Anolis sagrei: one gene and its partners. The protein of the gene in region 2 interacts with the protein of the main gene of each other region in a pairwise test. Links are inferred from orthologs where the notes say so. Each region holds a gene or a part of one and is shown on either strand. Other genes may lie near its edges. The genes, in order: RITA1, GOLGA2, PKP4 and CUL5.

Region 1 (7,608 bases), on a different chromosome or scaffold from region 2:
CTCGTTGCCACCATTTTGTGGATGTCCAGGGAGCATGCTGATCTTGGGCAACTGTCGCAGTCACCCCAGAGGAACCCCAAGATGTCAGCAGGCTGCCTGAGTCCTTGGTATGGAGGGATCTGTAGTTCTCTCCACGGATCTCAATCTTCAACGTTGGCAGTCGGCTCATAAGGACTCTGTGGACACTGGGACACCTTTTCCCACTTGCCTTTTCTGGATTTCACAACTTTGATCAACTTTCCCAAACTTTCAAGAACTTTTAAAAACTTGGTGGACTACCTTGCATGAATAGGGATGATATGATTTCATGCTTATGAACTTATTCCTTTGGACTCTAGTGGGTGGGATGAGTGTATTATGAAATCCCTTTATGCTTCATTGTCCCTTATGTGTCTCCCTTGAACCTTATGTATGTGTCTGTATATGAAATATGGGAAGCCACCCTTTTCGTGACCCCAGTGAAACACCAGCCTTGGGAAGTTCATTTCCTAGGGCAAATTTCCATTGATTCTAGGTTTTCAACAAAGACTATTTACATGATAATAACCAGGCTCTCCCTCAGTTTCGGATCATGACCACTTGGGAAAGGGCCCCTGGTAAACTAGTCATCTATCAACAAAGAAACATCCTGCCTCCAAGGGAGGCCAGGATATCCCAGCCTTCCTCCCTTTTGTCATTTCCCCTTGGACCAAGAAAATCTACCAAATTACAAAGTGATCCAATATCTAAGACAAGGAAATACCAGGGCTTGGCAATCGTGCCCGCTATAAAGATACGCTCTTGATGGCCAAACAATATAACTGGACAGGGGCAAACAGATCCCAACACTGTCCCTCCTTCAATAAGGAATTCACACCACTTTGGCACTTATAGTGTTTGAGGGGATGTCTCTTGATTAAAACCTTCGCTGCCACCATAAACTGAAGAATCAGGAACCCTCTAGCTATTTAGAATGTTAAAAGGCTTTTCTAGGACCACCAAACACTGTGTATTAAAAAGGGCTTCTTTGAGGGGAAACAGGAGAGGTTGATTTAAAAAGAAAAAAAGACTGAATCTACAAATGGCACTTGACTCAGGCTTAAATTTTAAAAATAACAAGAAAGGTTTATTGAATACAAGTTACAGAATAAAAGTGAATGCAGTTGTAGAGTCTTTGCTGTTACAAATTAAAGTGTTCTTGGTTCTTAGAAGCGTAATGGTTGCTTGAGAGAATGGTTCTATTCTTTGTTACAATTCCTAAAGAAAACCCAGCTATTTCCTTTCTAAAATAGCTGTAACCAGTCTGCCACAGCCTACTTTGCTGTGCAAACTACAGGCAAGCTGCCTATTCCTAACAGAGACTCCTAAAACTCTAATCCTACTCTAACATCACCCAGAACTGAACTGAACTGTCAAAATAAGCTTCTCTCTTTCCCTCCAACTGGCTAACTCCGCCCCCCTTTTCCAAACCAATCCTGGCTGTTGCTGGGCTGGCACAGGCCTAGGCCACTCCCCCTCTCTGAACTGGAGTCTTCCCTAAACTAAGATGGCTCCTGCCGCTCTCTGCCAGGCCTTCCTAAGCTGAAACTACCTAGCCTGTCTCTTCCTAGGCCCTGCCACCCCCCAGCTGGCAAGGTAAGGGATCTTTACACCCGCCATATCTGCATATCGCAACCTTTCAAGAATACCCAGCCAGCTTGAGGAATCTTTTCTTTTGATTAATCGCCAGCCATTTGGACACATTGAGCCATTCTAATTCAATCATCTGGACATTCCTTTCATTGTTCTTCCCAAGGACCGCCTCCTCCGCTCCTATTGGTCGAAAGCTCGAAGTGGCACTGGCTTTCTGATTCACTGAGGCGCAGTCAAGCTGGCTGCGCCTCCTCTCCAGCTGATGACAACAACCAATCAGGAGAAGGCTGGCTGAGGGGTGGGAAATTTGAACTTTGACAGCTCTGTTTCTCTATAAAAATGTACTGCAATGTATTGAATGTATGTCTCTCCTGACGAACTATCGCGGTTTGACATCCGTACCAGCTGGATGAAATAAATACAACTCGGTGGCTTTTCTTCAATTTTGGTGAGATTTATTGGGAAAAATCTGGGGAAAATTCTATTGGCTTTTCCTTTGCTCGCCAGAGTTCCGGATCCTCATTTTTTAATTTTTTTATTTAGAGCTTTTATAACCCGGTCTTCTCGACCTCCGAAGAGGGACTCAGGCCGGCTAACAGCAGAAAATTCAACACATATATAATGAACATAATAGCATCATAATACATTAATACATTAAAATACAGATCATACAATATCACACAAAAGCCATGTTTTTACCAGCTTTCTGAAAGTCAGGAGGGAAGAGGCGGATCTAATCTCCAATGGGAGAGAGTTCCAGAGCCGAGGGGCCACCACCGAGAAGGTGCTGTCCCTCGTCCCCACCAGACACAATTGTGAAGGTGGTGGGACCGAGAGCAGGCCCCCTCCAGAAGATCTTAACAACCTTGATGGTTCATAGGAGAGAATCCGTTTGGACAGGTAAACTGGGCCGGAGTCGTTTAGGGATTTATAGGTCAACACCAGCACTTTGGTGGGTCTTAGGGCTCCGTTCTCCTGGGTGAGTCTCCAAACTCTAGCTCAATATCATTAGGCTGGCAGAAGCTGGGGCTGACAGCGGAAGCTCATGCCGCTTCCCAGATTTGAACCTGCAACCTTTCGGTCAGCAAGGTCAGCAGCCCAGCAGTTTAACCCACTGCGCCACCAGTGTCTCCCTATTGTATAATATAATAATATAATATTTTATTGTATTGTCGAAGGCTTTCATGGCCGGAATCACTGGGTTGTTGTAGGTTTTTCCGGGCTATATGGCCATGTTCTGTATCAGACACTGATATTTTATTTATTATATAATACATTATTATTTTATTACATTATGTGATACTAGCTGTACCCTGCCACGCGTTGCTGTGGTCCAGTCTGTTGATCTGGAAAATAAAGTAATGAGAAAGTGTTGGTTTCTAATATACGTAATTTCTTTATGCTTGCAGGTAAACCGTACTTCTTGTTTCTTTGTCACTGTTGATGTGGAGAGTGTCTGGTTTGCCCACCCTGGAACATGCAACATATCATTGTCCTTCTTTAAGGGTCCCTTTCAAATCTATGATACTATATCTCTCTGTGTGTGAATCATATGTATCTGTCTGTCTGTCTATCTATCTAATCTATGGCTGGATGGCTCTTTGTCAGGAGGGTTTTGATAACGTTTTCTTGCCCTGAAGAAGGGAGTTAGATTGGATGGCCTTAAGTATTTTCTGTTGGTCATGGGGGTTCTGTGTGGGAAGTTTGCCCCAATTCTATCGCTTGTGGGGTTCATCATGCTCTTTGATTGTAAGTGAACTGTGAATCCCAGTGATTACAACTCTCAAATGTCAAGGTCTATTTCCCCCAAACTCCATCTGTGTTCATATTTGGGTGTATCGAGTGTTTGTGCCCAGTTTGGTCCCGATCCATCATTGTTTGAGTCCACAGTGCTCTCTGGATGTAGGAGAACTACAACTCCCAAACTCAAGGTCAATGCCCACCAAACCCTTCCAGTATTTTCTGTTGGTCATGGGAGTTCTGTGTGCCAAGTTTGGTTCAATTCCATCATTGATGGAGTTCAGAATGCTCTTTGAGTGTAGGTGAACTATAAATCCCAGCAACTACAACTCCCAAATGACAAAATCATAATTTTTTTGAGTGATGGTCACTCCTTGTGTGGTGAGATGTTTTGTTGCCAAATTTGGTGTGATTTCGTTCACTGGTTCTTTTGTTTTTAAGGTACTCATTATGAACAGAGCATTTTTATATATATAGAAGATAGATAGTCATATAATAATATACTGTTATATTGTATTGTATTATTCGATCCCATAGCATTGGATCCTTATTATATATTATTATATAATAATATTATATTGTATTATATCATAATATAATATTAAAAAGTATTATATTAATTATGTTATGCTATATTATATTATATTATATTATATTATATTATATTATAAAGCCATGGTATTCCCTGTAGTCACCTACGGATGTGAGAGCTGGACCTTAGGGAAGGCTGAGCGAAGGAAGATCGATGCTTTTGAGCTGTGGTGTTGGAGGAAAGTGCTGAGAGTGCCTTGGACTGCGAGAAGATCCAACCAGTCCATCCTCCAGGAAATAAAGCCCGACTGCTCACTGGAGGGAAAGATACTAGAGACAAAGCTGAAGTACTTTGGCCACATCATGAGGAGACAGGAAAGCCTAGAGAAGACAATTATGCTGGGGAAAGTGGAAGGCAAAAGGAAGAGGGGCCGACCAAGGGCAAGATGGATGGATGGCATCCTTGAAGTGACTGGACTGACCTTGAGGGAGCTGGGGGTGGTAACGGCCGACAGGGAGCTCTGGCGTAGGCTGGTCCATGAGGTCACGAAGAGTCGGAGACGACTGAACGAATGAACAACAACAATATTATATTATATTATTTGTAGAGTTTAAATGTACCCTGAGATATTTTCATGAGAGATCTGGTGTATGACACCCAAGCCTAAAAAAGACAGTCATTTATGTTGCAGAGACGCACAGCCTGAAATATAATATTTTGTGTGTGCATGAAACCAAGCCATCAGAAAGCAAAGCAGAGAAGCCAGCAAGTTCCTGTCTTGCTCTAATCAAGAGCCGCGAATGGGAACCGGAAGTGAAGAGTTGTTCCTCGTCTTCTTTCATGAGGAGCTGATCGGTGGCCGAAAGAGGGGCCAAGGAGGCGAGCAAACCGTAAGATCGGGGCCGAGGGGGGGATCGGGGCCGGGCTGAAAAGGTAGGACTGCAAAAAGAAAGGGAAGAGAATGCCTCAGGCCGTGTGCAAAAGCCAGAGATGGCTTGGATTGGCTGGTTTTCTGCTGCTTTGCAGTCGTTTCCCAGGGAAACGAGATGCAAACAATGAAAAGGGTGCATATGCTGCACGGTCGAATGAGGACAGCTTGACCTCCCCTGAACTGCTTTGGCTCCAGATAGGGGATCCTGCGAGTTGTGGTTCGGCGGGGAAGACTCAAGACCTTGGGAAACTAGAACTTGCAGGAAGACCTATTACCCTGAGCCCGGGCAGTTTAAATGGCGCGTCTACATTGTGGAATGGATGCAGGTTGACCCCATTTAAACTGCCTGGGCTCAGGGTAATAGGTCTTCCTGGAAGTTCTAGTTTCCCAAGGTCTTGAGCCCCCTCTGGGTGCTTCTATGCTGCTGAAGACCTTGGGACTCAAGACCTTGGGAAACTAGAACTTACAGGAAGACCTATTACCCTGAGCCCGGGCAGTTTAAATTGGGTCAACCTGCATCATTCCACAATGTAGACGCGCCCTATAGTGAACTCAGTGCAATGGTGTCCTGGGAGTTGTAGTTCTCCAAGGCCTGCTAAACTATAACTCGCAGGATTCCATACCCCGGAGGCCTGGCAGTTCAAGGGACATCAAGCTCCATTCATTCAGCAGCACAGATGCACGCAGAGGAGGCTCAAGACCTTGGGAAACTAGAACTTCCAGGAGGACCTATTACCCTGAGCCCGGGCAGTTCAAATTGGGTCCACCTGCATCCATTCCACAATGTAGACGCACCCTATGGTGAACTCAGTGCAATGGTGTCCTGGGAGTTGTAGTTCTCCAAGGCCTGCCAAACTATAACTCGCAGGATTCCATACCCTGGAGGCCTAGCAGTTCAAGGGAGATTAATCTGCATTCATTCAGCAGCATAGATGCCCCCAGAGGGGGCTCAAGACCTTGGGAAACTTGAACTTCCAGGAGGACCTATTACCCTGAGCCCAGGCAGTTTAAATGGGGTCAACCTGCATCCATTCCACAATGTAGACGCGCCCTATGGTGAACTCAGTGCAATGGCGTCCTGGGAGTTGTAGTTCTCCAAGGCCTGCCAAACTATAACTCGCAGAATTCCATACCCTGGAGGCCTGGCAGTTCAAGGGACATCAAGCTGCATTCATTCAGCAGCATAGATGCTTCTGCTCCAGGGTAATAGGCCCTCCTGGAAGTTCTAGTTTCCCAAGGTCTTGAGCCCCCTCTGGGTGCTTCTATGCTGCTGAAGACCTTGGGACTCAAGACCTTGGGAGACTAGAACTTCCAGGAAGACCTATTACCCTGAGCCCAGGCAGTTTAAATTGGGTCAACCTGTATCCATTCCACAATGTAGACGAGCCCTATGGTGAACTCAGTGCAATGGCATCCTGGGAGTTGTAGTTTTCCAAGGCCTGCCAAACTATAACTCGCAGGATTCCATACCCTGGAGGCCTGGCAGTTCAAGGGACATCAAGCTGCATTCATTCAGCAGCATAGATGCTTCTGCTCCAGGGTAATAGGTCCTCCTGGAAGTTCTAGTTTCCCAAGGTCTTGAGCCCCATCTGGGTGCTTCTATGCTGCTGAAGACCTTGGGACTCAAGACCTTGGGAAACTAGAACTTCCAGGAAGACCTATTGCCCTGAGCCTGGGCAGTTTAAATGGGGTCAACCTGCATCATTCCACAATGTAGACGCGCCCTATGGTGAACTCAGTGCAATGGCATCCTGGGAGTTGTAGTTCTCCAAGGCCTGCTAAACTATAACTCGCAGGATTCCATACCCTGGAGGCCTGGCAGTTCAAGGGACATCAAGCTGCATTCATTCAGCAGCATAGATGCTTCTGCTCCAGGGTAATAGGCCCTCCTGGAAGTTCTAGTTTCCCAAGGTCTTGAGTCTCCTCTGGGAGCTTCTATGCTGCTGAAGACCTTGGGACTCAAGACCTTGGGAAACTAGAACTTCCAGGAAGACCTATTACCCTGAGCCCAGGCAGTTTAAATTGGGTCAACCTGCATCCATTCCACAATGTAGACGCGCCCTATGGTGAACTCAGTGCAATGGTGTCCTGGGAGTTGTAGTTCTCCAAGGCCTGCTAAACTATAACTCGCAGGATTCCGTACCCTGGAGGCCTGGCAGTTCAAGGGACATCAAGCTGCATTCATTCAGCAGCATAGATGCTTCTGCTCCAGGGTAATAGGCCCTCCTGGAAGTTCTAGTTTCCCAAGGTCTTGAGTCCCCTCTGGGAGCTTCTATGCTGCTGAAGACCTTGGGACTCAAGACCTTGGGAAACTAGAACTTCCAGGAAGACCTATTGCCCTGAGCCCGGGCAGTTTAAATTGGGTCAACCTGCATCCATTCCACAATGTAGACGCGCCCTATGGTGAACTCAGTGCAATGGTGTCCTGGGAGTTGTAGTTCTCCAAGGCCTGCTAAACTATAACTCGCAGGATTCCGTACCCTGGAGGCCTGGCAGTTCAAGGGACATCAAGCTGCATTCATTCAGCAGCATAGATGCTTCTGCTCCAGGGTAATAGGTCCTCCTGGAGGTTCTAGTTTCCCAAGGGTTTGAGCCCCCTCTGGGAGCTTCTATGCTGCTGAAGACCTTGGGACTCAAGACCTTGGGAAACTAGAACTTCCAGGAAGACCTATTACCTTGAGCCCAGGCAGTTTAAATGGGGTCAACCTGCATTCATTCCACAATGTAGACGCACCCTATGGTGAACTCAGTGCGATGGCATCCTGGGAGTTGTAGTTCTCCAAGGCCTGCCATA
Region 2 (7,740 bases):
GGGTGTTCTGTGTGGGATGTTTGGCCCAATTCTATTGTTGGTGAGGTTCAGAATGCTCTTTGATTGTAGGTGAACTATACATCGTAGTAACTACAACTCCCAAATGTCAAGGTCTATTTTTTATTTTCTGTGTTCACATTTGGGCATTCTGTCTCTCCCCAGCAAAATGTCTTAGGCGAGTATTCTTGCCAAGTTTGGTCCAGATCCATTATTGTTTGAGTCCACAGTGCTCTCTGGATGTAGATGAACTACAACTCCCAAACTCAAGGTCAATGCCCACCAAACCCTCTCAGTATTTTGTGTTGGTCACGGGAGTTCCGTGTGCCAAGTTTGGTTAAATTCGATCGTTGGTGGAGTTCAGAATGCTCTTTGATTGTAGGTGAACTATAAATCTCAGCAACTACAATTCCCAAATGACAAAAGCATAATTTTTTGAGTGATGGTCACTCCTTGTGTAGTGAGACGTTTTGTTGCCAATTTTGGTGTGATTTCGTTCATTGGTTCTTTTGTTTTTAAGGTACTCATTATGCACAGAGCATTTTTAGATAGACAAGATAGATAGATAGAGAGATAGAGTGATCCATAGTGCTTTGGGACAAGCACTCCCATTACTCTCTCCCAATTTGGGGGATTCTGGGAGCTGTAATCTCAAAGCTCTGAATTGCCTTTAAACAGCCAAATCCTGAATTAAACAAGGTGAAAATTGGCTTCTACACTGTAATAATAATAATAATAATAATAATAATAAGGAGAAGGAGAAGGAGACGACTTTGTTTACACCCAGCCACCATCTCCCCAAGGGGAGTCAGAGCGGCTTACATGAAACCAAGCCCGACAACACATCAATAAAACAAAAAACAATAAGCAGAAACAATACAATTAATATAACTCATATATAAACAGTAACACACAAGGGTTTTAAAAAAAACCTATGGCCGGGCCAAATGTAATAGTTTAAAATTTTAAAAAAATAAACGCTGGGCATGAACAGAGATAGGATGTATCTGATAGGAGGGTTTTAAAAGAAATGAAGGTAGAGCAACCCAATGAGTAGTTACAAGTGCTTCGGAGGACATTTTGCTGGGGATTATTTCCTTTTTCACTGAAGAATGAATGCAAGTTTAACAACACTTGAAATACCATGGCTCAGTACTATGGAATCCTGGGAGTTTTAGTTTGGTATGGCACCAGCATTTTTAGGCAGAGAAGGCTCAAGACCTTGTAAAGCTACAACTCCCAGGATTCCATAGCATTGAAACATAAAGTAATGTCAAACTGCATTCATTCTACATCTTGAGTCAAATAAAAAAGGTAAGGTCTTAAAATCCCTAAATGCATAAATATAATAAATCTGATTTGTAACACTTTTAAGTTTTGAGCTGAGCAGTATTTCTTCATAAATGTGTGATACAGCCTCCAGGCAAGTATGAGTGGAGCTGGTATTTCAGGTAGAGTAAGCAGCCCTTCCCTCTGAGTCATTATTTAATAAGCTTTTCACATGGCTTGAATACTTTGGGAATGATATGATGAGAGGGAAGACAAGCACAGCTTTTCTCTGAGCCGATTTCACAGGGCTGTGGCTGCCCATCCTGCAAATCTGCAACCAAGGATCTTTTCAAAGCAGGCCTAAGACATTTTGTTGGAGAGAGACAGAGGCCTGGAAGCGAATGAGCTGGATGTTGAATCTTGCAATGGAATTAATATCCTCCACTGCAGACAAGACAATGATCAATGCAATTTCTCACTAACTGCGATCGGTCAAGATAATCACAAGAAGCTCTTGAGCCTTCTCTGCCAAAGAGTGCTGGGCCTGCCCGAACTACAATTCCCAGGATTCCATAGCACTGAGACATAGCAGTAAAAGTAGTGTCAAACTGCATTAATTCTACAGTGTAGAAACACACCAAGAAAGTACAGGTCGGAATAGGGTGTGTGCGTATGTATGGTTTTATGAATATACGTGTTCGTCAGGCCAAAATGATGGTGGGCCCAAGCGGAAAAGATGTGACAGACTGTCACTGCTATTCTCTGGCATCAATCATGCTGAAAGTAGGAGCATACAGTATGTCCTTCACAATTTCACATATGAAAACTGGTCGAACAACAGCAAAGTGTAGTCAAAATGAGAAACATGATTGAAAAGGAAGAATATATAAGCTAGGAGGGTTTGCAGCAGTTTCCTTTTGCCCAAGCCTACTGGGAAGGACAAGAGTTTTTTTTCAGACAGCTCTTTAATTAATTAATTTCATTTCTACCCCGCCTTTCTTGATCCTAAAGGGAAATCAAGGCAGCTTTCAAATCTGGCAAAAATTCAATGCTGCACAGGTAAACAATAAAACACATCTCATCAAAATATAAACAAATTAAACATATAAGCAATTAAAACACATATCAATCAATCAAACAAACAGATTAAAAACCTTATAAGAAGAAAGTTTTCAAGACTGAACCAGGAAGTGTTATGTTTTATGTAGTCTAATTGTTTTGTTGGTTTGAAGTATGTATCTTTTAATAAGTCATATATTTAATTCTATTTTAATATTTGTATGTTCCGAGTTTTATTTATTTATTTCATGCACTTTTACCCCTCCCTTCTCCCCCAAAGGGGAACTCAGGGCGGCCTCACAGAAGCACCATACGATGCTGTCAATTCGAAGTAGAATTAAAGCATTAAAAACCATTAAAACACATTATACAATTCATTAGACAGTAGATTATACATGCCGGTAAAATCAAATCCAAGTCTAAGCAGATTCAATGTCGTAAATATCCTAAGTCTTTTTTCCAATTGCCGCTATTTGATTAATGAAATGCCTAGTCCCAGGGCTAAGTCTTCACTTGTCTTCTAAAGGACAATTTACATATTTGTATGATTTGTTTAGTGTTAGCCGCTTTGATACTCCTTTGGGAGAGAGAAAGCAGGATATAAATAATAACAATCATCTTGCTGGGTTTTAATATATTTATTTATTATTTATTATTTATTTGATGCACTTATTAACCGCCATTCTCAGCCCTTACGGGCGACTCATGGCGGTGTACAGTACACATAAAAAGACAGTTACAAAGGCCAGTATCAACAACATATAACTATACGACAAATACAAACTACATAAAAATCCGCTTCGTCTCTTAGTAGAATCATAGCCAGTCTCATCTTCCTTGTACCATTCCAGTTCTCATTACCGTAATGTTGTTGCTTAGCACTTAATTAAATGCCCTCTCGAACAGCCAGGTCTTAAGGCTTTTTCGAAAGGACATGAGGGAGGGCGCCTGTCTGATGTGTGCCGGGAGAGTGTTCCACAGCCGGGGGGCCACCACCGAGAAGGCCCTCTCCCTCGTCCCCGCCAGCCGTGCCTGTGATGCAGGCGGGATCGAGAGAAGGGCCTCCCCAGACGATCTCAAGGTCCTCGTGGGCTCGTAGGCCAAGATGCGGTCAGAAAGGTATTTTGGGCCGGAGCCGTTTAGGGCTTTGTAGGCCAAGACCAGCACCTTGAATTGGGTCCGGTAGCAAATCGGCAGCCAGTGGAGCTGGGACAACAAGGGCGTTGTGTGCTCCCTGCTACCCGCTCCAGTTAGTAACATAATTATAGATATTGTATAATTTGTTTAGTGCTAGCCGCTTTGATTCCCCTTTGGGAAAGAGAAAGCAGGATATAAATAATAATCATCTTGCCGAGTCAATTGAGTGTCACCCATTCTTGTACTTTTAACTCAGTTTGCAGCAACTGGAAAAAGATTACAAATAAGGAAAATTGGGAGAAGAATGAGACTGAGACATTTAAAAAAATAATTTATTTATTTATCATATTTATACCCCGCATTTCTTACCCCGAAGAGGACTCAGGGCAGCCTTACAGACTGGAAACAATTTGATGCCATATAAAAAAAGTCTTCAGGCTAAACATGCCCAGCTCCTTAAGCCGCTCCTCATAGGGCTTGTTCTCCAGCCCCTTGATCATTTTAGTCGCCCTCCTCTGGACACATTCCAGCTTGTCAATATCTCTCTTCAATTGTGGTGCCCAGAATTGGACACAATATTCCAGGTGTGGTCTAACCAAGGCGGAATAGAGCATGGGGAGAATGACTTCCCTAGATCTAGACACTATGCTCGACAAAACTTCCTTGGAAACGTTATGTTGACACTCTCAATTACCAATAAATACCTCAGATTTTACTTCTCTGTACAGTGTTTGGCTGTTTTATTTTCCCCCTGACTGAATGGAATGCAGGAACGCACTTCATTCGTGAGGGAACTCTGGACGAGGAGGCTTCGAAATGGCGCGAAGGCAGACTGCGCCTGCGCACTCCCTTCCGCCTGGGAAAGAGCCTGTCAGAGGCCGCGCCTGCGCAGTGCGGCTCCCCACTAGGCCCGGGCGGAGCCTAGATTGGCTCTTGGGGGCGGGGCCTGTCAGGGCTACGCCTGCGCAATGCCGCTACCCAATCAGTACGGCTCTCCACTAAGCCCGGGCGGAGCCTAGATTAGCTCTCTCCGCCTTGGGGGCGGGGCCTGCCAGAGTTGCGCCTGCGCAGTGCCGCTCCCCAATTAGGCTCTCCCCGTCATGGGAGCGGGGCCTGTCAAGGCTGCGCCTGCGCAATGCCGCTTCCAAGTTAGGCCCGGGCGGAGCCTCGATTAGCTCTCCCCGTCGTGGGGGCGGGGCCTGCCAGGGCTGCGCCTGCGCAGTGCCGCTCCCCAATTAGGCTCTCCCCCTCTTGGGAGCGGGGCCTGTCAGGGCCGCGCCTGCGCAATGCCGCGTCCAAGCTAGGCCCGGGCGGAGCCTCGATTAGCTCTCCCCGTCTTGTCAGCTGGCGGCGCTGTCCCCGCCCTCCCCTCCTTCCTCCGGGCTGACGTGGCCGGGGACATGGCGGACGGGAGCAGGCAGAGCAAGCTGGCGGCGGCCAAGAAGAAGGTAACGCGGCAAGGGAAGGCAGGGGAGGCCGAGAGGAGTTTGCCTCAGGCTCGAAACAGCAACTACGACGACGCCAGGCGGCCTAGGCCTCTAGGCCCAGGCACGCCCCTAGTTGCCCCCTTCTCAGCCAGGCAGAGGCCTAGCCCCCTCCGAGGCGCCTCTCCGGCCTAGGCACGCCCCTCGGAGGCCGGAAGACCCCAGCCCGCCCCGTAGTGGGATTGCTCCGAAGAGAGAGGCCGCGCCTCCCTTCTCAAGGCCCACATTGTGAGAGCCGTTCAGCAGTGGAACTCTCTGCCCAGGAGTGTGGTGGAGGCTCCTTCTTTGGAGGCTTTTAAACAGAGGCTGGATGGCCATCTGTCAGGGGTGATTTGAATGCAATATTCCTGCTTCTTGGCAGAATGGGGTTGGACTGGATGGCTCAGGCTGGAGCAACCCACTCAGGGTGTTTTTGGGTTGCTGTGAGTTTTCCCGGCTGTCTGGCCATGTCCCAGAAGCATTCTCTCCTGACGTTTTGCCCAAATCTATGACGGGCATCCCCAGACATTGTGAGGTCTCTTGGAAACTTGGCAAGTGGGATTTATAGATCTGTATCTATATCCACAAAGACAAATGCAAGAATCATAGAGTTGGAAGAGACCTCATGGGCCATCCAGTCCAACCCCATTCTGCCAAGAAGCAGGAATATTGCATTCAAAGCACCCCTGACAGACGGCTATCCAGCCTCTGTTTAAAAGCCTCCAAAGAAGGAGCCTCCACCACACTCTAGGGCAGAGAGTTCCACTGCTGAACAGCTCTCACAGTCAGGAAGTTCTTCCTCATGTTCAGATGGAATCTCCTTTCTTGTAGTTTGAAGCCATTGTTCCGTGTCTTAGTCTCCAGGGAAGCAGAAAAGCAAGCTTGCTCCCTCCTCCCTGTGTCTTCCTCTCACATATTGATACACGGCTATCATGTCTCCTCTCAGCCATCTCTTCTTCAGGCGAAACATGCTCAGCTCTTTAAACCGCTCTTCATAGGGCTTGTTCTCCAGACCTAAAGCAAATTAAAACAATTAAAGCAATATTAAACAACAAAACAATAAACAATACACCAAAACACAATAAAACTGGACCAGGCCAGAGTAATGGGTACAGAATTAAAAGTGCTGATGTGACAGGTGGTATATAAGGATTATAGGGTAAGTGGAGTGTGCAGTGCGCGGCAATCATAGTTCTAATAAAGTGCTTCTGGGACTTGGTATTGGAGATTTCCTATTCTGGGAAGGCACATCGGAACAGCCAGGTCTTCAAGTTGTTTCTAAAGACTGCCAATGTAGGGGCCTGTCTAAGATCTTTGGGGGGGGGGTGTGTGTTCCAGAGTCGGGGGGCCACCACAGAAAAGGCCCTGTCTTGTGTCCCCACCAAATGCGCTTGTGATGCAGGCGGGATCACAAGCAGGGCCTCTCCAGATGAACGAAATGAACGTGTGGGTTCGTAAACGGAGATGCAGTTATTCTATTCTGACATGCACTTATATGCATCTGTCTGTATTTAAATGCTGAAACAAAGTGACAGAGCTCAGAGAAACGTGAAATAGTTTCTTAGTTTGAGAGGTGTTTCTTGGGAGGAAGCAGATCCTTGGGCATCTCTACATACTCCACTTAGTCAGAAAAAATGAAATGCAATGATACAGACCGGTGGACAATGCCAGGCTCGATATCAGTATGAAAAAGATTTTGGAGTTTTCGTGGGCAACAAGTTAACATGAGCCAACTATGTCGTTCGACAGCTAAAAAAAGAATGGGATTTTGGCCTGCATCAGTAATTATAATAATAAATTTTATTTGTATCCTGCCACCATCTCCCCAAAGGGGACTCAGAGCGGCTAACAAGAGGCCAAGCCCAAAATTATAGTACAGCAAGATAAAATAGAAAGAAGCAAAATTAAAATCAAAATAAAAAATCATGAAATAACAAAATAAAATAAACAATCACAAAATAACATGATAGAGAAATAGAATGCAGTGGGCGGGTCAAATGCACTAGGATAAAATTGATAAAACCCTGGATGAGATAAGTGATGGGAGAATGTCTTTCTGAGGGAAGAGCTCAAAAAGAATGAACTATGGGGTTAGACCAGGGGTCCTCAAACTTTTTAAACAGAGGGCCAGGTCACAGTCCCTCAAACTTTTGGAGAACCAGATTATAATTTGAAAAAAATGAATGAATTCCTATGTGCACTGAACATATCTTATTTGTAGTGCAAAAAAAACCCTTTAAAACAATGCAAAAATTAAAATGAAAACAATTTTTACAAATATAAACTTATTAGTATTTCAATGAGAAGTGTGGACCTGCTTTTGGCTTATGAGATAGGATTGTTGTTGTTGTTGTTGTTGTTGTATGTTTTCAAGGAATTTCAGACTTGAGGGCCAGGTACATGACCTTGGAGGGCCGTATTCGGCCCCCGGGCCTTAGTTTGAGGACCCCTGGGTTAGACCTTCATTAAGGGCAGGGGAAAGTGCATCATGAAGATGGAACTGTAGTTGGAACAGACAAAATATGGAATATATGTTCACTTGCCAAAGGCATATCAGAAGAGCCAAGTTTTTAGGTCTTTCTTAAAAGCTGCCAGGGTAGGGGCTTGCCTAATCTTACTAGGTAGCGAGTTTCAAAACTGAGGGGCCACAGCAGAGAAGGGTCTCTCTCTCGTCTCCACCAGTTGTACTTGACATAAAAGTGGCAGTGAAAGGAGAGCCTCCCCAGAGGAGGTTTATGGAAGGAGCTGTGGTCATGAAGGTAGACGAGTCCCAAACCGTTCAGGGCTTTGTAGGTGATAACCTGCACCTTGAATT
Region 3 (7,746 bases), on a different chromosome or scaffold from region 2:
CACAAATGAAAAATGCTCCATTCTCGTACGCCTGTAATACCCCTTGTTCTTAAACAAGTTCCTTTCCCTACTTTGCTTTACTGGGCGTTCTTTTCTCACTGCTGCATTTCCTCTCCTCTCTCTCTTTTACAAAGCTTGTGAATGTTTAATATTTAATTTGACAATGGCTATGGTTGCACTAAGCATAGAATAGCTACTACTCAAATATATTCAGAAACATCTTAGTATCTTGAAAGGCAAATTCTCAAGAGGGTTGAAGGAAAGCAGTACAGTAATGCACTTGGGGGTGCATCTACATGGTGGAATTAATGCAATTTGACACTGCCATGGTTCAATACTACAGAATCATGGGAGTTGTAGTTTGGTGAGGTGCCAGCACGCTGTGGCAGAGAAGGCTGAATACCTTGTAAAGCTACAGCTCCTGTGACTCCATGGCAATGAATCAGAGTAATGTAGTGTTATACTGCATTAATTTTACCGTGTACATGCACCATGTGTTTAAACAAGAAAGAATTAACTTCACCACTCAGTCATATGGTTTGAAGAATGAGAAACAATTATATATAAATAAACTAATTGCCCTTGTATATATTATACTTAACAAACCAAAATGATGTGGAAAATGAAATAGTAGAAAAACGTTGGTCTCAATGGATGCAAACATAGTGCTAGTCTTTGACATATTGGAAAAATAAAATATAACTAGTGGACACAAATATGGCCACCTTGGGGTGGGAGGAGACTGGTTTTCCTATATCAGATAGTGTATACCTGCATGTCAGGAAGTTGGACTGGATGGTCCTTGCAGTCTCTTTGAACTCTATGATTCTGTAACTTAAAAGGCACTGTTCTTGTGAAGTGACCATGCATGTGCAGTTACATACATCTGATCAGAGACAAGATACGCACATACATACTTTAAGAGAACAAAACATCCACGAAACAATAAAAATGTACAAAATATGCACATAAAACACATATGCTTCCAAAGCTCCACTGGCTTCTTCATTAGGCAAAAGTGTTAACAATCATACAAGAAAAAGAAAAAATGAGAAGTTAGACTCATAGGTCTGTGTTCTCTCAGGGTTTTTGTTGTTGTCAGTTAAGATGTTCTGGAGAGATATCAATGGAATCAGAGGACCTTTGTAGTCATGTGAGCACTGAAACTAAGGCCCAATCCACACCACCATAATACAACTTCAAATGGCATTTTATGACAGTGTAGATGTGGCCAAAAAGCTGTAAAATGAGGGCAATAAAACTGCAACTCCATTAACATCAGAAAAAATAACTTTCCTTTCTGAACTGCTGATTGTTTAAAATACATCAAAAATAGGGTTTCCATTAAGTGTATTGGCTATTACTTGTGTGTGTGAATATGTCACCTGTCTACTTATGGTGACTTTATACATTTCATAGGGTTTTCTTAGGCAAGGAATACTCAGAGGTAGTTTTACCAGTCTATTCCTTTGAAATATATATAGCCCATAGGACCGTATGTGTTGGCTGTCCCATCCAAGTATTAATCAGGCCTGACCTTCCTTCGCATGCAAATCAGATGGGACCTGTTACCTTTAGTAAAGTACATCTCCAAAATCTTCAACAAAATTTGTGGGAAGGATACACACACATGCACACACACAAAGTAAATAAAATATATCTCATATATGTTAGGGACAAATACAAAAATACAGCAGAGTTGAGGGAAAGAAAAGGAACAAAGTGGATTGGCTGTTGCTAGGTGAAGTGGCCCTCTGTAACATACTTGGGAAAGAAAGGGAGGGAAGTAGATTGGCTGCTGCTAAGTGATGTGTATGCAGAGAAGGTAGGGAGGAAGGAAAACAAAGGGAAACAAAGGAAGGAAAAAGGAAAAGAGTGAGAGAGAAGAAAGAAAAAGGAGGGAAGGAAGAGAAAGGAAAGAGGAGAAGCAGGCATGTAGCGGGGGGGGGGGGGGTCTTGAGGGGCTTCAGCCCCCCCCCTGAAATTCTTATGGTGGTTCGCGAAAAGGCCTTATTGGTGCATTATTTAAACTGTTGTTTATTCATATCATGATCTGATCACCATACTCAATATATCCCATATGCATGGAGAAGTGGGTAATGATACAAAAGGTTTGCTAGGGTAGACCCTTTTTCACTCAGACACAGCCCCCCCCCCCAAACTCAGCCCCCCCAAAAAACCCTGACAAAAACTCAGCCCCGCCCCTCCCCCCAAATCGAAATCCTGGCTACGGGCCTGGGGAGAAGGTATGAGGGAAGGGAAAGAAAGAGAAAGGAATGGGAAAAAGGGGGGGGGGAGGGAGGGAGGTTAGAAAGAAAAAGAAGCGAAGAGAAGTGAAGGAAGATAAAGGGAAGAAAGAAAGAAAATGTGTATGAGGGAAACAGCAGAAGAAGGAAAAAAAGAGCTGCAAAGAAAATGCAAACCCGGACAACAGTACTATTTAAAAGGCATGTTGCCTGTGTGGCTTTAATCTATTTGATGAAGACGTTTCTGAGGATGCATTTATACTGTAGAATTAATTCAGTTTCACACCACTTTAATTTTCATGGCTCAACGCTATGGTGGCATGGGATTAGAAATTTTACTAGGCATTTAATCTTCTCTGCCTGAGTTCTGCTTCCCATCATCATTAGCCGTATTTATGTATTTTAATTGTTTTGTAACCCACCTCGAGCCATGAGGAGAGGCGGGTAAGGAATATTATCATTATCATTATTATTACAGGATTCCATAGTGCAGAGCCATGGCACTTAAAGTGGGGTCAAACTGCATTAATTACACAGTGTAGATAACTTTGGCCCTCCAGGTGTTTTGGTCTTCAACACCCACAATTCCTAAATATTAGGAATTGTGGGATTTGGCGTCCAAAACATCTGGAGGGCCAAAGCTTTCCCATGCCTGGTGCACCCTGAGTGGTGAGGAAACAGTAGAGTTTACTTAGGGCACAAGTTCCTGCTGTTATTGGTTCCCATTCTCCCCCCAGTTCCTCCCTGGGGTGCATCTACATCAGGCAGGGGCAGACTTTGGCCCTCCAGGTGTTTTGGACTTCAACTCCCACAGTTCCTAACTGTTATGAATAGTGAAAGTTGGAGTCCAAAACAACTGGAAGGCTCAAGTCTGCCCAGGCCTGATATAGATGCACCCCGAGAATAGTGGAGGAAACACTAGACCAGTGGTTCTCAGCCTTTGGGTCCCCAGATGTTTTGGCCAACAACTCCCAGTAATCCTAGCTAATTTACTAGCTGTTAGGGGTTCTGGGAGTTGAAGGCCAAAACATCTGGGGACCCACAGGTTAAGAACCAGTGCAGCAGAGTTTACTTAGAGCAGAAGTTCCTGCATTTCTTGCTGTTATTGGTTCCCATCCTCCCCCATTACCTCCCAGTTCCTCCCTGGAGTGCATCTATACCAAGCATGAGCAAACTTTGGCCCTCCAGATGTTTTGCACTTCAACTCCTACAATTCCTAAGTGTTAGGAATTGTGGGAGTTGGAGTCCAAACAACCTGCAGGGACGAAGTTTGCCCAGGCCTGGTGTAGATGCATCCTGAAAGTGGTGGGGAAGCAATAGAGTTTACTTAGGGCACAAGTTCCTGCATCTCTTGCTGTTATTGGTTCCCATCCTCCCCCATTACCGCCCTGGAGTGCATCTACACCAGGTATGAGCAAACTTTGGCCCTCCAGGTGTTTTGCACTTCAACTCCCACAATTCCTAAGTGTTAGGAATTGTGGGAGTTGAAGTCCATGCATCTCTTGCTGTTATTGGTCCCCATCCTCCCCTCATTACCTCCCAATTTCTCCCTGCATCTACACCTGGCAGGGGCAAACTCTGGCCCTCTAGGTGTTTTGGACTTCAACTCCCACAATTCCAAACTGTTAGGAATTAGGCTTGGGCAAACTTCAGCCCTCCAGGTGTTTTGGACTCCAACTCCCACAATTCCTACAGGTGTTTTGCACTCCCACTCCCACAATTCCTTTTAGGAATTGTGGGAGTTGGAGTCCAAAACACCTGGAGGGCTGAAGTGTTTTGGACTCCAACTCCCACAATTCCTACAGGTGTTTTGTACTCCAACTCCCACAATTCCTGTTAGGTGTACATCAGGCCTGGGCAAACAGTGTACATCAGTGTACACTGTACATCAGGCCTGGGCAAACTTCGGCCCTCCAGGTGTTTTGGACCCTAACTCCCACAATTCCTGTTAGGAATTGTGGGAGTTAGAATCCAAAACACCTGGAGGGCCGAAGTTTGCCCAGGCCTGATGTACACTGTAAATTGGAACGCAGCTTGAGCAGACATTGACTGCCATGGCTCAATCCTATGGAATAGTGGGAGCTGTAGCTTCAGAAGGCCTCGAGGTTGCTGCTCGGCCGAAGAGTGCTGGTGCCTCACCAAATTTACAACTCCCAGGATCCCCCAGCATGGAGCCTTGGCAGTTGAAAACGGTGTCAAACTGTAGATGACTGTAGCGGGGTGTGGAGGTGCGAGAGAGCCCCTCTCCCTGGGCCGGGCCTGACCTGAAGGAAGTGCAGCTTCCCCCCTTCTTCTCCTTCTCCTCGCCTGCTCGCCCGCCGGCCTCTTCACAGCATCGGTAACCCTGGCAACCTCAGCTGGCTCCGCCATTGGGCGGTTTGAGCCCCGCGGCGGGCCAATGGCGAGGCGTCTCGCGGCGCGCTCCTCCAATCGGGGCGAGGCGCAGGGCAGGGCGAGGCGCTGACGTCTGGCGGAGGGGCGGGGAGAAGCAGGCGGCGAAGGAAGGGAGGGAGGGAGGAAGGAAGGAGGGTTTCGTGTTTCTCCTCAGCGGTGGCGGCACCGGGACCATGGGCGCCCCGGGGTAGGGCCCTTCCCGGCCGGCGGGGAGGCGGCGGTGGCGGCCCCTCCGCGCCAGCGAAGACTCGGCGCCGCGGTGAGTGAGGGAGTGAGGGAAGGAAGAGCGTGAGGGAGGGAGGGAGGAGGGGAGGGCGCGGGGCCAGGTGGGTCGCCTCCCTGCATCCTGAGGCAGCTCCTCGCCACCCTCACCCCCGCCTTGCCCTCTCCTTCTTCCAGCAACTTCCCTCCCTGTGGGAGACCAAGGGGAAGAAGGCACGAGGCATCCAGCCTGGCTCGCCTCTTTCCCATCCTTTCCTCCAACTTGCCCCTCCTTGTGGTCATATTATTACTTTATCGCATTACTAGTATTATATTGTTGTTAGTGTAATTATTACCCCCCATTTTGACCTCCCATTGCGAAACAGGAGAGTTTCAAGTGCCCCCTCATTCTCTCAAAACTTGCCAACCTCCCTTGAAATCCTCGTGGTATCATCATCATCATCATATCATTATTTTTTATTACATTTACATGTATTTGTTTCAAACAGGACGGTTTCAATTGCCCCCTCATTCTCTCAAAACTTGCCAACCTCCCTTGAAATCCTCGTGGTATCATCATCATCATATCATTATTTTTTATTACATTTACATGTATTTGTTTCAAACTGGAGGGTTTCAAGTGCCTCATAATTCTCCCAAAACTTGCCAGCCTCCCTTGAGATCCTTGTGGTATCATCACATCATTATTTTTTATTATATTTACATGTATTTGTTTCAAACAGGAGGGTTTCAAGTGCCCCATCATTCTCCCAAAACTTGCCAGCCTCCCTTGAAATCCTCGTGGTATCACCATCATCATATCATTTTTTATTATATTCAAATGTATTTATTTCCCATGGTCAATGTAATGTGTCTCCTTGGTTTGGTTATGCTTAGCACTGCTTCCTCTCTGCTTATCTTGTCTCCTTTTGCTTCCTTTCTCATCCCACTTTACGACTCCCAAGATCCTTTCTTTTACCCTCTAAGTAACCTTTGCATCGCCCCTCTCCCCCACTATATCTTATTTTTATTATATTTACGGTGTAATTATTTCTCATCGTCAGTGTGTCTCCTTGGTTTGGCTCTGCTTAGGACTGCCGCTCCTCATAAACATTGCTGCTTGTCTTGTCTTTTCTCGTTTCCTTTCCCATCCCACTTTCCAAGATCCTCTCCTTTACCCTCTAAGTAACCTTTGCATTGCCCCCCTTCCCACTATACCTCCTCCTTCCTTATCTTCCCATCCTAAGCATAATTCCCCCTCCCCCCTTTCTCTTTATCTTCAGGGTGCTTTCCCCCCACCCATTTCCCTATTTTACTTATTTTCTTTTGTAAATCAGCAGTGGGTGCTCCATCTTATCATCCTGACAATATTCTGCTTCCATCAACTCTGCCTTCTGTGTCTTCCCATCCTAAACATTTTATTTATTTATTTCTTATCCTAAGAGTGTGTTGTGGTGGAGCAATGGGTTAAACTCTTGTGCTGACAGGGCTATTGACCAAAAGGTCAGCGGTTCAAATCCGGGGTGCGGGGTGAGCTCCTGTCTGTCAGCTCCAGTTCACCATGTGGGGACATGAGAGAAACCTCCCACAGTGTGGTCAAACATCCGGGTGTCCTCTGGGCAACGTCCTTGCAGACAGCCAATTCTCTCACACCAGAAGCGACTTGCAAATTCTTAAGTTGCTCCTGGCACAATTTTAAAAAATTCTAAGGATGCCCATATCCATCAGTTTCTTGTTCAATTTTTTTAATATAAATAGGCTCCACCTTAGCTGTCCTCCTATCTCCTGTAACAACTTCCTTTATGCAGATTCCGCCACCTCCTTTTTATTACTTGTCTCCTTTGCCCTTCCTCGTGTAGTTTGGGCTTACTGGTTGAAATGGGTACCATTCTATACAGCACCCCACGAGTCTTTTACTAGAACATAGACTCTCTTAATGTTTCCATTTGTCCTGAAATAACTCCCTCCCCACTCATCTCACGATATTTATCTCCCCTGAAATTCCTCTCATTGTAACTTGCTATTCTTCCTCACCAGGAATTTACCTGATGTCCTTCACTCCCTGAACATTGCCTTTTGAAAAAAAATCCTGGCCTTTCTTTAATTTTTGGCCCCTTGTTAAAAGGGATGCGCTCTAATTTCTGTAAAGCTTTTCACTCCTTATCCTGTATCTGATATTGCCTTTTAGTTATCTGTTTACTCCTGTGTGCCTTTTTCCCATTCCTTGAGTGCCAGTAACAGCTCTCCTCCTGACTAGTATGCACAAACCTGTTCATGCCTCCCAAACCCTGACAATTCGCTTTCCATCCCTTCAATTCTATTTCCATTCCTTTGCCTCAGCCTTTCTCTCCTTGTCGTTGCAGGCATTTCTTCCTGCTTCTTCGGCTTCTTAAAAGCCCTTCCCCTCATTTCCCTGTTCCCTCGGCTCAGTCTTGGCCCTCCAAAAACCCTTCTTTCTTAACCTGTATAGTCTACCCTCACTCGACCTCGCCCCATCTTGTATTTCCCCCATTTGCTTGTTAGAGCTCCTTGCATCTAAGCTTGAGGAGAGAATCCATAGAGTGCCAGTGGCATTTTCTCTTTCTCCCCGCTCTCTTTCTCCCTGTCCTGGCTTTCCTCTGAAGCAGACCAGACCTCACAACTCCTATGCCCCTGCAATCACTTTGTAGGGGGAAGACTGGGAGGGGTAGTGGCTGCTTGCCTTTTTGGCTGCATGTTTGAGGAGTGCGACAGACGGACGGAAGCGGTTGGCTCTCTGGGCGAATGGGAGGGCAGGTGTGTGTGCTTGTGTGTGGGAGGGGGCACGTAGTTTGCTCCTGGAGCTTTCCGATAGTGCAGGAATGTGAGGAATGCCTAGGAAGACTGCTGCAACAGATCCGCTCCTTGCCCAGCTCTCTTAACAGCC
Region 4 (7,195 bases), on a different chromosome or scaffold from region 2:
GGAGATTCTACCTGAACACGAAGAAGACCTTCCTGACTGTGAGAGCAGTGGAACTCTCTGCCCCAAAATGTGGTGGTGGCTCCTTCTTTGGTGGCTTTTAAACAGAGGCTGGATGGCCATCTGTCAGGGGTGCTTTGAATGTGATTTTTCCTGCTTCTTGATAGCGGGTTGGACTGGATGGCCCACGAGGTCTCTTCCAACTCTATGATTCTAAGAACTTCAATGTATCAGAATTATCTCAGGATCCTTCCATGCAGTTGTATAAAATCCACACTGAAATGGATTATATGGCAGTGTGGGCTCAGGGCCCTTCTACACAGACATACAACCCAAAACATCAAGGCAGATAATCTACAATGTCTGCCTTGGACTGGGTTATCTAAGTCCACCCTGACATATTCCAGTTCAATGTGAGATTGAATATAGCTGTGTGGAAGAGGCCTCAGCCCAAGCACAGATCTCTACATATAGCCATCCCCTGCCACATGTTGCTGTGGCCCAGTCTGGTGAGCTGGAAAATAAAGTAGGGAGAAAGTGTTGGTTGATGCAATTTCTTTATGCTTGTGGGTAAACAGTATTTCTTGTTGTTTCTTTGTCAGTGTTGATGTGGAGATTGTCTGGACTGCCTACTCTGGAACAAGCAACATATAATTGTCCTTCTTTAAGGATTCCCTTTCAAATATATACTATATCTGTCATATACATACATATTTGTGTGTGTGAATCATATATACCTTATCTGTATCTATGGCTTAATGGCTCTTTATCAGGAGGGCTTTGATTATGTTTTCTTGAAGGAAGTTGGGAGTGGATGGCCTTAAGGCAGCATTTCTCAACCTGGGGGTAGGGACCCTGGGGGGGGGGGTCACAAGGGGGCGTTAGAAGGGTTGCCAAAGACCACCAGAAAACACAGTATTTTCTGCTGGTCATGGAGGTTCTGTGTGGGAAGTTTGGCCCGATTCTATCGTTGGTGGGGTTCAGAATGCTCTTTGATTGTATGTGAACCATAAATCTCAGTAATGACAACTCCCAAATGTCAAGATCTATTTTCCCCCAACCCCATCTGTGTTCATATTTGGCATATGGAGTATTCATGCCAAGCTTGGTCTAGATTCTTAACTGTTTTGAGTCCACAGTGTTCTCTGGATGTAGGTAAACTACAACTCTTAAATTCAAGGTCCATGCCCACCAAACCCTCTAGATCAGTGGTTCTCAACCTGTGGGTCCCCAGGTGTTTTGGCCTACAACTCCCAGAAATCCCAGCCAGTTACCAGCTGTTAGGATTTCTGGGAGTTGAAGGCCAAAACATCTGGGGACCCACAGGTTGAGAACCACTGCTCTAGATCCTTAACTGTTTAAGTCCACAGTGTTCTCTAGATGTAGGTGAACTACAACTCTGAAATTCAAGCCCACCAAACCCTCCCTGTATTTTCTGTTGGTCATGGGAGTTCTGTGTGCCGGGTTTGTTCTACATCCTTAATTGTTTGAGTCCACAGTGCTCTCTGGATGTAGGTGAACTACAACTCCTAAACTCAAGGGCCATCAGATCCTTCTAGTGTTTTCTCTTGGCCTGTGTGCCAAGTTTGGCCCAATTCTATTGTTGGTGGAGTTTAGAATACTCTTTGATTGTGGGTGAACTATAAATCTCATGACTCCCAAATGTCAAGGTCTATTTTCCCCAAACCCCATCTGTGTTCATATTTGGCATATGGAGTATTCGTGCCAAGTTTGGTCTAGATCCTTAATTGTTTGAGTCCACAGTGTTCCCTGGATGTAGGTGAACTACAACTCCTAAACTCAAGATCCATGCCCACCAAACCCTTCTGGTGTTTTCTGTTGGTCATGGGAGTGCTGAGTGATAAGTTTGGCTCAATTCTATAGTTGGTGGGGTTCAGAATGCTCTTTGATTTTAGGTGAACTGTAAATCTCAGTAACTACAACTCCCAAATGTCAAGGTCTATTTTCCCCAAACCCCATCTGTGTTCATATTTGGCATATGGAGTTTGGTCTAGATCCTTAATTGTTTGAGTCCACAGTGTTCCCTGGATGTAGGTGAACCACAACTCCTAAACTCAAGGCCAGTGCCCACCAAACCCTTCTAGTGTTTTAAATCTCAGTAACTACAACTCCCAAATGTCAAGGTCTATTTTCCCCAAACCCCATCTGTGTTCATATTTGGCATATGGAGTTTGGTCTAGATCCTTAATTGTTTGAGTCCACAGTGTTCCCTGGATGTAGGTGAACTACAAATCCTAAATACAAGGCCCATGCCCACCAAACCCTTCTAGTGTTTTCTGTTGGTCAGGAGAGTCCTGTGTGATAAGTTTGACTCAGTTCTATAGTTGGTGGGGTTCAGAATGCTCTTTGATTGTAGGTGAACTATAAATCGCAGCAACTACAACTCCCAAGTGACAAAATCAATTCTGATGATCACTCCTTGGGTTAGTAGGTGCCTTGTGGCCAAATTTGGTGGCAATGAGTCCAGCGGTTTTTGAGTTATGATGTCACCCAAAACGAACACAGCACTTAAATATAGATAGATATAATCTACATACAGACACACAGCCTCTCTTCTTCCCTCCTCACTTCCCCTTCTTGGCTTTCCCTCTTCTCTTCCTCCTCCTCTCCACATAATAACCTCTCAACCCTCCTCCAGGCCCAGCCGCCTCCTCCTCTCACCTTTAAGAGATTAGACGTCGCCATGTTGCCCCCCTCCACAGCACGCAAGGGGAGGGGGGCCCGCGCAGGCGCACAAGAGAGGCCTGACCAGGCCGGCGGCGGCGGCGGCGGATGAGATTTCGGCGGCGGCGGTGGCGGCTTCCTCTCTTCCTTTGCCTTTACATGCTTCGCCGCTCGGTCAGGGGCTGGCACTAGCTTCCGCCTCCTCTTTCCCCCTCAGCGCCTCATGGCCTCTTTCACGGAGGAGGCTTCGCAGGAGAGCCGTCGTCTCGCAGCGGCCCGGCTCCGCGAGAGCCCACATGATGCGGCGCCCCAGAGCCGGAAGCCCCCGCCGCACCGAGGGAAGGGGAGGGAGGGAGGGAGAGTGTGCGCCGCTGAGGCTTCCCACCACAGCGACCCCTGCCGGCCGGAGGTCATCCTGACACTCTTTTTTTCTTCTTCCTCGCAGAATTCTGCCTTAACCTCCCTCCCCGCTGATGACGTCATCGCTAAGCTCTTGGAAGCTAAGCAGGGTCAGCCTTGGTCAGTACTTGGGTGGGAGGCCGCCAAGAAGGACCAGGTGATGTTTCACAAGGTGGGCCAAAAGTCACAACGGGGTTTCAGTATTTAAACATAATAACACACATTTATATTTATATGCATATTTATTTATTTATTTATTTATTTTATTTGCTTTTTTTCTATACCGCATTTTTTCAGCCCTTGACAGGCGACTCAATGCGGTTTACATGGTACAAGTATCAAACAGTGTCAGTGCAATTAAAACATAACAATGCAACAAACAGGATCAACAGCATCAATCCACAACAATTAACAATCAACAAGACAGATCAACAAGACAAACATAACATAACGCCTCAGTTGAAATCAGATCCGTTTTCATAATCCTTGTGCCATTCCTATGTTCCATTTACCGTCTTCCTATGATTGGTTGCACTGCTTAACCAAACGCTTGTTCATAAAGCCAGGTCTTAACCATTCTCCGAAACGTCAGCAGCGAAGGTGCCTGCCTGATGTCTGCCAGTAGGGCATTCCATAGCCGAGGGGCCACCACTGAGAAGGCCCTGTCTCTCGTCCCCGCCAAGCGCGCCTGTGACGCAGACGGGATCGAGAGCAGGGCCTCCCCAGACGATCTTAATGTTCTGGTCGGTTCATAGGTAGAGATGCGTTCGGAGAGGTAAGCAGGGCCAGAACCGTTTATGGCTTTATAGGCTAAAGCCAGCACCTTGAATTGTGCCCGGTAGCGGATTGGCAGCCAGTGGAGCTGGCTCAGCAGAGGAGTGGTATGCTCCCTGAGTGCCGCTCCCGTTAGCAACCTGGCCGCCGAGCGCTGGACCATCTGAAGCTTCCGGGCAGTCTTCAAGGGCAACCCCACGTAGAGCGCATTGCAGTAATCAATCCGGGATGTAACCAGAGCGTGGACTACCGTGGCCAAGTCAGACTTCCCAAGGTACGGGCGCAACTGGCAACATATATAATGTGTATATGTGTATACATGTACACACATATATTTGTATAAACACACATATGTGTATAAAGTGTGTATGTATATACATGTACATACATATACACAACATATATAATGTGTATATGTGTATACATGTACACACATATATTTGTATAAACACACATATGTGTATAAAGTGTGTATGTATATACATGTACATACATATACACACATTTATGTATGAAGTGTATATGTACATGTGTATACATGTATATCTCTGGTTGTACTGGTCCATACTCTCATCCAACCTTTTTAACTTGTATGCAGAACACATCATGCGATGTGCGGGGCTGGATGAATGCAAAGCTGGGGTGAAAATTGCTGGAAGAAACATTAACAACCTCAGATATGCAGATGACACCACTCTGATGGCCGAAAGCGAGGAGGAGCTGAGGAGCCTTCTAATCACGGTGAAAGAAGAAAGCGCAAAAGCGGGTTGCAGCTAAACATCAAAAAAACCAAGATTATGGCAACAAGAATGATTGACAACTGGAAAATAGAGGGAGAAAATGTGGAGGCCGTGACAGACTTTGTATTTCTAGGTGCAAAGATTACTTCAGATGCAGATTGTGGCCAGGAAATCAGAAGACGCTTACTTCTTGGGAGGAGAGCAATGTCCAGTCTCGATAAAATAGTAAAGAGTAGAGACATCAGACTGGCAACAAAGATCCGCCTAGTCAAAGCCATGGTATTCCCTGTAGTCACCTACGGATGTGAGAGCTGGACCTTAGGGAAGGCTGAGCGAAGGAAGATCGATGCTTTTGAGCTGTGGTGTTGGAGGAAAGTGCTGAGAGTGCCTTGGACTGCGAGAAGATCCAACCAGTCCATATTTCAGGAAATAAAGCCCGGCTGCTCATTGGAGGGAAGGATAGTAGAGACAAAGTTGAAGTACTTTGGCCACATCATGAGGAGACAGGAAAGCCTAGAGAAGACAATTATGCTGGGGAAGGTGGAAGGCAAAAGGAAGAGGGGCCAACCAAGGGCAAGATGGATGGATGGCATCCTTGAAGTGACTGGACTGACCTTGAGGGAGCTGGGGGTGGTGACGGCCAACAGGGAGCTCTGGCGTGGGCTGGTCCATGAGGTCACGAAGAGTCGGAGACGACTGAACGAATGAACAACAACATCTGTATGCATATAATGTCTCTGGCATAGACACTGAGAACTGGGAAGCCCTGGCTGGAGGTCAGCTGTGACCAGAAGTGCTGTAGAATCTGAAGGGGCAAAAGAGAGAAACATGTGAAAAGGAAGGCCTGCCAAGCCAACCCTGACTGGGACCACTTTCCACTTGGAAACCAATGCCCTCACTGCGGGAGAAGATTCAGATCAAGAATAGGGCTCCACAGTCACCGCTTATACACCGATCTTGGAAGACAATCCTACTCGGACAACGAGGGATCGCCTATGTATGTAAGTAAGTAAGTAAGTAAGTAAGCATATAATGTGTATATGTATATACATGTACACACATATATTTGTATACACACATGTGTATAAAGTGTATGTATATACATCTACACATATACACACATTTATGTATAATGTGTATATGTACATTATACACATGTATACACATATATGTATAATGTGTGTATGTATATACATGCACACATGTATTTATGTATGTGTATATGTATATACATGTACACACATATATACATTTATGTATGTGTATATGTATGTATGTGTGTAAATGTTTCACATGTAGATATTTATGTATGCTTATATGTATATACACATAAACACAAATATACACACATGTATACATATATACACATATACATGTATGTGTATAATGTATATATATATATATATCTGTGTACATGGACACACATAACATGTATAATGTGTATGTGTATATGCATGTACACACATATGTGCACACATATGTATAATGTTAATATATACATGTAAACACATATACACACATATATAATATGTATATGTATATACACGTACACACATGTATACAAACATATGTATAATGTGTATATGTGTATACAAGTACATACATATACATATATACACATATATTTATGTATGTTTAGATGTATATACATGTACACACATATACACACACAGGGTGCATCTACACTGTAGAATTTTACTGTTTATGGATGTATTTTAATTTGATTTATGTCTAACTGTAATTGTACAATTGTAATTGTTTGTGCTGGCATTGAATTTTGCCATTACCTATGTGGAAACCGCTTTGAGTCCCCTTCGGGGTGAGAAAAACGGTATACAAATGTTGTAAATAAATAATAAATAAATAAACATATCCTCTGAAGATGCCAGCCACAGATTCAGATGAAAAGTCAGGAGAAAATGCCTGGAAACCACACAACACCCCTGTGATTCGAGCTGTGAAAGCCTTCAATAATACAGATGTATCATATGTATGTTATTAAATATTGAAATTCCTTTGTGTCTTTTGGCCTACTCTATCTATTATGATGCCATGGTATTGGATATAATTTACCCAATTAGATTTTTTTACATGTAATGTACTCCATGTGATGCTATGATATTGTAACCTACAAAACAAAAAAATTAAGGAGTTATGAAATATTGAAAACTATTTGTGACTTTTGCCCACCTTATCGATTTCCAAGGAAGGAACTGGCAAAAATCACCTCTGTGAATGTACCTACGCTGTAGAATTATTGCAGTTTGCTACCATTTTAACTGCCATGACTCAATGCTGTGGAGTCATGGGAGTTGTACGTACCAGCACTATTGGCAAAGTGGGCTAGAGTCCTTGTAGAACTGCAACTCCCATGGTTCCATAGCATTAAACCATTACAGTTTGTCTATATTAATTTTACGGTGTAGGTGCACCTTATATATTTTGTGCCTAAGATAACTCTATGAAATTCACGAGGTCTCCATATGTCAAAAGGTGACATGGAGACGGGGCCTAAGTGATCTAGGTCTAGAAGTCTGATTATGAGCACTCTTTCTGCTTGTGTTTCATAGCATTGAGCCATGGCAGCTAAAACGGAGTGT

Evidence for each region.
Region 1: the proteins of GOLGA2 (region 2) and RITA1 interact in binary tests that used the Homo sapiens proteins (3 or more experiments, as listed by UniProt). The two-hybrid records come from large-scale screens. The link is inferred for Anolis sagrei from reciprocal best matches to the Homo sapiens genes GOLGA2 and RITA1.
Region 3: the proteins of GOLGA2 (region 2) and PKP4 interact in binary tests that used the Homo sapiens proteins (3 or more experiments, as listed by UniProt). The two-hybrid records come from large-scale screens. The link is inferred for Anolis sagrei from reciprocal best matches to the Homo sapiens genes GOLGA2 and PKP4.
Region 4: the proteins of GOLGA2 (region 2) and CUL5 interact in binary tests that used the Homo sapiens proteins (3 or more experiments, as listed by UniProt). The two-hybrid records come from large-scale screens. The link is inferred for Anolis sagrei from reciprocal best matches to the Homo sapiens genes GOLGA2 and CUL5.

Annotation. Positions count from the first base shown.
Region 1 is NC_090034.1:45,200,584-45,208,191, reverse strand, and holds the start of RITA1 (RBPJ-interacting and tubulin-associated protein 1), read left to right. Parts: upstream 1-4,593; 5' UTR 4,594-4,773; intron 4,774-4,787; exon of another isoform or gene 4,788-4,816; intron 4,817-7,608. UniProt on the Homo sapiens protein: Tubulin-binding protein that acts as a negative regulator of Notch signaling pathway.
Region 2 is NC_090031.1:16,805,319-16,813,058, reverse strand, and holds the start of GOLGA2 (golgin subfamily A member 2), read left to right. Parts: upstream 1-4,727; 5' UTR 4,728-4,862; coding exon 4,863-4,910; intron 4,911-7,740. UniProt on the Homo sapiens protein: Peripheral membrane component of the cis-Golgi stack that acts as a membrane skeleton that maintains the structure of the Golgi apparatus, and as a vesicle thether that facilitates vesicle fusion to the Golgi membrane.
Region 3 is NC_090021.1:201,404,774-201,412,519, reverse strand, and holds the start of PKP4 (plakophilin-4), read left to right. Parts: upstream 1-4,746; 5' UTR 4,747-4,899; intron 4,900-7,746. UniProt on the Homo sapiens protein: Plays a role as a regulator of Rho activity during cytokinesis. May play a role in junctional plaques.
Region 4 is NC_090023.1:26,179,680-26,186,874, reverse strand, and holds the start of CUL5 (cullin-5), read right to left. Parts: upstream 3,020-7,195; 5' UTR 2,704-3,019; coding exon 2,680-2,703; intron 1-2,679. UniProt on the Homo sapiens protein: Core component of multiple cullin-5-RING E3 ubiquitin-protein ligase complexes (ECS complexes, also named CRL5 complexes), which mediate the ubiquitination and subsequent proteasomal degradation of target proteins.